Callithrix jacchus: one gene and its partner. Each later gene encodes a partner of the first gene's protein in a complex. Links are inferred from orthologs where the notes say so. Each region holds a gene or a part of one and is shown in the gene's direction. Other genes may lie near its edges. The genes, in order: TUBGCP5 and TUBG2.

Evidence for each region.
Region 2: TUBGCP5 (region 1) and TUBG2 share a complex: the UniProt entries of both Homo sapiens proteins name them as parts of the gamma-tubulin ring complex. The link is inferred for Callithrix jacchus from reciprocal best matches to the Homo sapiens genes TUBGCP5 and TUBG2.

The regions. Positions count from the first base shown.
Region 1 is NC_133507.1:1,837,879-1,841,702, forward strand, and holds part of TUBGCP5 (gamma-tubulin complex component 5), read left to right. Parts: intron 1-794; coding exon 795-997; intron 998-2,520; coding exon 2,521-2,564; intron 2,565-2,655; coding exon 2,656-2,817; intron 2,818-3,824. UniProt on the Homo sapiens protein: Component of the gamma-tubulin ring complex (gTuRC) which mediates microtubule nucleation.
Region 2 is NC_133506.1:121,223,309-121,225,880, reverse strand, and holds the end of TUBG2 (tubulin gamma-2 chain), read left to right. Parts: intron 1-426; coding exon 427-513; intron 514-628; coding exon 629-778; intron 779-995; coding exon 996-1,148; intron 1,149-1,230; coding exon 1,231-1,392; intron 1,393-1,514; coding exon 1,515-1,712; 3' UTR 1,713-1,908; downstream 1,909-2,572. UniProt on the Homo sapiens protein: Tubulin is the major constituent of microtubules, protein filaments consisting of alpha- and beta-tubulin heterodimers. Gamma-tubulin is a key component of the gamma-tubulin ring complex (gTuRC) which mediates microtubule nucleation.

The DNA.
Region 1 (3,824 bases):
CTGTTTCCTCACACTCTTGCCATCCGTGTGTTGTCAGACGTTTTGGTCCTCATCATTATAGATTATAGCAGATGTAAAGTGGTAACCCATGTAGCTTTTTACCCTTAACTTTTAGTTTGAAGTACCACAGAAAATAATACAGAGAGGTCCTGTGTTCCCATTACTTTACTTCCCCCGGTAGCAGAACCTCACATAGTTATAGTACATGATCAAAAGTGGGAAACTGACACTGGCGTGGCCCATTAGCCAAGCCGCAGACCTGACGCAGTTTCCCATTGTTGCAGGAACTTGCTTTGAGCAGGGGTGGGTGTAGTATCTTCGTGTATAGTTCCAGGCCGTTTTATCACATGTCTAGCTCCACATGGTGACTTCCATGTTGAGGTCCCAGCTGTGCCGTCGCCTCACAGGAGCTTGTGCAGCCCTCTCTAGGCACAGCTTCCTACACTAACATTGGCCCATGGGGAGGTGTTTTGTTTTACCTAGTATAATTTTAATTTGCATTCTTTTATTATAAGTAAGGTAGCTTGACTTTCTGTATGTTTTAGAACCCCTCATCTTCCCTTTTCTGTGAACTGTCAGTTTTTTTATATATTTTTCTGCTGAGTTACCTTTTTCTCCATGACTTGCAGGAGTTCTTCCTTAGGGAAGTTAGGTCCTTGTGATGTGCAATCAAAATCCACCATCCTTCATTTTCCCTGCCTGCCCATAAACCTGATGATTTGCCAGCATTTATGTCACATTTTACATGCATGTATTTTTCCTTGCTATTGAGTTTGATCTGTTGATATTTGCAGATGCTACAATAACTCTTGCAATAGTGGTGGACAAGCTGTCGCCTCGATTGGCTCAGCTCAAGGTTCTGCACAGAGTGTTTAGTACCGGAGTAGCAGAAGTTCCACCTGATACTCGAAATGTCGTCCGGGCCTCCCACCTGCTCAACACTCTGTACAAGGCCATCCTCGAATATGACAATGTTGGAGAGGCCTCTGAGCAAACCGTATGTGAGACTTCTGCCTAAAGTGCGTGACTCCATTCTGCACAGCACAGGGGTGGGAGACGGCTGGTCATGGTTCTGTGCTTAATGATACTGGAATGGTGACCTGTCGGACAGTTCAGAGTTGTCAAATTAGCTTCCAAATTTGAGGCTGTAAGAAACAACTTTTCAGCTCTAATTGCCAAGACCCTCAAAAGGATGAGGCGAGGGCAAAGCAGCATGTGAGACATGCCTCGCCGAGGTATATAGACGTACAATAACGCTTCCTTACATAAACACTAAGCCTGTTACAGGAAGTGTCTGACGTAGTCACATTCACAGAAACAGAGTGGAATGGTGGTTACCAAGGACTGGGGAGGAGGGAGCTGTTATTTAATGGGTACATAGTTTCAGTTATACGACATGAAAACGTTCCGGAGATTTGTCACAACAATGCGAATGTACTTAAAACCTCTGAACTTAAAAATGGCGAGGGCGGTGCACAGTGGCTCATGCCTATAGTCTCCACACTTCAGGAGGCCAAGGGAGGACTGCTTAAGCCCAGGAGTTTGAGACTTGCCTGGCCAATATAGTGAGACCCTGTCCTTAAAAAAAAATAAGTTAAATTAAAATTTAAAGAAGAAACAAATAGGTAAGATGATAACTTTTATGTTATATATTTTATATTGTATTTAAAAAATACAAATCTAGACCAGACACAGTGGCTCATGCCTGTAGTTCCAGCTACTTAGGAGTATGAGGTGAGAGGATCACTTGAGCCCAGGAATTTGAGACCAGCCTGGGCAGCATACTAAGACCCTGTCTCTACAAAAAATTTTAAAAGTAGCCAGGTGTGCTGACATCAGGAATTTGACACCAGCCTGGCCAACATGGTGAAACCCCATCTCTGCAAAAAATACTAAAATTAGCCGAGTATGGTGGCGATAACCTATAGTCCCAGCTACTCAGGAGGCTGAGACAGGAGAATCACTTGAACCCAAGAGGTTGCAGTGAGCTGAGATCATGCCACTATACTCCAGCCTGGGCGATAGAGTGATACTCTGTCTCAAAAAATTAGTGAGCTATGGAGTAGTAGCCATTCCTGTGGTTCCAGGTATTCAAGGGGCTGAGGCAGGAAGATTGCTTGAGTGTGGAAGGTTGAGGCTCTGGCGAGCCATGTTTGCACCACTGCACTTCAGCTTGGGTGACAGACTGAGCAAGACCCTGTATCAAACAATATATAGCTTTAAAAATCTATCTAGAGGCTGTAATTTAGAAAGCTACAGTTTTATTTGGGTATGTATATCAGGTGTATTTTCCAGTTTGTTGGTATAACTTTTTTTCTCACCAATTTAATACTGCATTTCAATATAAAAGAGATTGATTTTCTCTCAGCACTGCCATTTTTGTCTGAGAGCTACTGGAATTAAGTAATTTCCTCACTCTTAATAGACACCTCGCTAGTAGTACGATTTAGATAGGGAAACCTTGCTCACCTGCCAGGGCTGTCTCAGGTCACACCTGCCTCTGTGTCATTTTCACTCAAGTTTCCCAGTCTGGACTGCAAACAATATGATCCTTCCATACTTAGGTGAGTTTCTCATAAGGATTTTAAAGCATATGTTTTTGGATTTTTTAATTTCAAGGCGTTTCAGAAATGTTTAAACCTCCTTCTGTTCTAGTGGCCAGGGAGCCCTGAGAGCTGACCGTGCACAATCTCTGCCTCAGGTCTCCCTCCTGTTCTTTCTCTGGGTGGAAACGGTGCGGCCTTACCTGCAGACAGTGGATGAGTGGATCGTGCACGGGCACCTGTGGGACGGCGCCAGGGAGTTCATCATCCAGAGGTGAGCTGCACAGAGCACAAGGTCGGCTGGCGTCACCAGTTTGCTCCCCGTGAAAATCAAATCTTTCATTACGGTACTAAGAAAGTATAGTCCATATCACAAAACTTGTCGTCATCATAGGCTAGTTCTATTTCATTTTTATGGAAGACGTCAGTAATGCCAGCCGATTATTAATATCTTTGTCCAGGTTTTGTCAGTTCACAACTTTTTTTTTTTTTTTGAGACGGAGTTTAGCTCTTGTTACCCAGGCTGGAGTGCAATGGCGCAATCTCGGCTCACCGCAACCTCCGCCTCCTGGGTTCAGGCAATTCTCCTGCCTCAGCCTCCTGAGTAGCTGGGATTACAGGCACGCGCCACCACGCCCAGCTAATTTTTTGTATTTTTAGTAGAGACGGGGTTTCACCATGTTGACCAGGATGGTCTCGATCTCTTGACCTCGTGATCCACCCGCCTCTGCCTCCCAAAGTGCTGGGATTACAGGCTTGAGCAGTTCACAACTTTTAAGCAAATTATATTTTTGGATGATAGTGTATCTATGGCTGGCTACTGTACACTGCTTCCCATAAAATGAGTTTAGGTGATATCAGATGGTTTCCGCTATTTCCAGTGTAAAGTATCGGTAAAGACATACAGAAATACTATAGAATATGCCTCTAATACATTTATTGGTCAGAATTAGCTACTCATTTCTTTTACCTTACTATAATTTTTTTTACTATTCTCTGAAGTGAATTAATTCAACTAATACCTTACTATAATATTTAATAAAAATTAAGAAAAATCTTAATCCATTTATGGCAATTTCCCTTCAGTTATTTAATTTTTCTGAACAGAATCATATAAACTATAATTAGAGCTATTTGTAGTCTTTTAACACAATTTTAAATGATGTAGTGTATTTAGATGTGCAGTTTCTATTGATAGCTATCCATTGAATGCATCAGGAAGGGTAACTTTAAGTCCTTAGTGTTCTGAAAGCGTAGCAATGTGTATGCAATGCTCACATA
Region 2 (2,572 bases), on another chromosome or scaffold:
CATACTAGACTGCAGACCTAATGAAGGGAAAGATGGTGCCTGTTCCTCTCTGTGGTCTTCCCAGAGCCAGGCAGTGTACGCACATGTGGATACTCATGTGTTTGTTTACTGCCCTGCATGGTCCGAGAGTATCTCATGATGCCCCAGAGACAGTACTTTTGTTTCTTTTTATTTTTTATATTTTTTATGGAGATGGCATCTTGCTGTGTTGTTTAGGCTGATGTCCAACTCCTGGCCTCAAGTGATCCTCCCACCTCAGCCTCCCAAAGGGCTGAGGTTATAGGTGTGAGCCACCATGCCCAGCAGTTTTTGTTTTAAACTAATAAACCTCTTCCTGGATCTGGAGTTCAGCAGGGGTTAAGCCAATATCTTATTTCTATGCCCATTTTCTCCTCAAGAAGCTGTGACCCTCTGCTGTCCCCGCAGGTGGTGCTGGACAACACAGCCCTGAACCGGATTGCCACAGACCGCCTGCACATCCAGAACCCGTCCTTCTCCCAGATCAACCAGCTGGTGGGCCCCCACTGCTGGACTCCTTTGGACTGGAAGCCCTCCTTTCTGGAGGGTCATCTGGGGAAGGGAGGTCCCACTCAGGCCGAGGCCTATGACATGGCACCCCTGTCCCCAGGTGTCCACCATCATGTCAGCCAGCACCACCACCCTGCGCTACCCCGGCTACATGAACAATGACCTCATCGGCCTCATCGCCTCACTTATCCCCACTCCGCGGCTCCACTTCCTCATGACCGGCTATACCCCGCTCACTACGGACCAGTCAGTAAGAGCAGCCTCAGTGTCCCAGGCCAGGCCAGCCCTGGGCCCCGCAGGCCCTACCTTAGCCTTTCTCTCCTCCTCTCTGCCCCAGAAGCTTTGCAGGCGACTTTCTTGTTGACTTGCTCTCTACCTCCCCTCTGCCTTTGGCTTCTGCCAAAGAGAAACCAAAAGGGGGACTGTGTCCTGAGCCCTGGCTGGGTCCCCGTTTCACTGTCCATCAGGTGGCCAGCGTGAGGAAGACCACGGTCCTGGATGTCATGAGGCGGCTCCTGCAGCCCAAGAATGTGATGGTGTCCACAGGCCGAGACCGCCAGACCAACCACTGCTACATCGCCATCCTCAACATCATCCAGGGAGAGGTGGATCCCACCCAGGTAGGGGAGGCCCCTTCATCCCATACCCTGGACCCACAGGGGTAGAGGAGAGGCCACTCCACTGCTCCTGTGCCTACCCCAGGTCCACAAGAGCCTGCAGAGGATCCGGGAACGGAAGTTGGCCAACTTCATCCCATGGGGGCCCGCCAGTATCCAGGTGGCCCTGTCGAGGAAGTCTCCGTACCTGCCCTCGGCCCACCGGGTCAGCGGGCTCATGATGGCCAACCACACCAGCATCTCCTCGGTGAGTCTGGGTTTCTGTTCTTAGGACAGTAGGACAGTCTGTTCCACTGGTCACCTTCATCATCTTCCCCAAGTTTGTTCCTAACCCCCGGCTCGCATTTTGGAGATTTTTGTCTCTTTCAGCTCTTTGAAAGTTCCTGCCAGCAGTTTGACAAACTGCGGAAACGGGATGCCTTCCTTGAGCAGTTCCGTAAGGAGGACATGTTCAAGGACAACTTTGACGAGATGGACAGGTCTAGGGAGGTTGTTCAGGAGCTCATTGATGAGTACCATGCCGCCACACAGCCAGACTACATCTCCTGGGGCACCCAGGAGCAGTGATTTCCCTCCCTACTACTCCTGGACGGGAAGCACAGCCTCAACCATGCCTGCACCCTCTGACCCAACTTCACCTCATGGACAACCCTTCTTGGCTTATCTCCAGCGCATGAGCTGGTCCTGCTTCTTCTCTCCATGCCCTGACTCTTGATATGCTTCTTCAGCTCTACTAAAGTAATAAAGCTTGGTTGTCAGTATAGCCAGGGCTTGATCTGTGAATACAGGGGGTGGTGAAGGGGTCCAGTTTCTAGGCATCTGACATAGGGTGGCCTTCACCTCCTCCATCGTCTTACCCCTTAGTCCAGATTTTAGTGTGTTCACTTTCCACTGGCCTCCCTCACCTTGAACTGGGCTGTTTTACTAGAGGCAGCCCTAAGATTACAGAGCTTTACTGAGGTCTGCTGTCTCCTCAGTACCTAAGCCTTTGCCCCAGGGAAGGTCAGTGTTGCCCCAGCCTCTTCCACTCAGGGCAGAGGAGGTGGGGTCTCTGTCTCCTCAGTGCCTAAGCTTTTGCCCCAGTGAAGGTCAGTGTTGCCCCAGCCTCTTCCACTCAGGGCAGAGGAGGTGGGGTCTACTGAAGGAGGGCACACTGCATTCCGAGCAGGCCAGGAGAGCCGGGACTCTGGAATCCCAGTGCCCAGAGCCATGAGAGTCCCAGGAACTCACTCTAGTTCAACCCAACCTGGTAAGTAGAAGCAGAATTCAAGAGTGGGGCTGAGCACATCCTGAGTTACTTTTCTGTGCCAGAGAAATTCGTGGGTTTGTTATCTGCCCCAAGCTTCTCTCCATTCTAGGCCCAAAGCATTAGGCCCACCAATGATGGGCCAGAACTCGACACCAGAGTAAGAACTGGGCAGTACCAG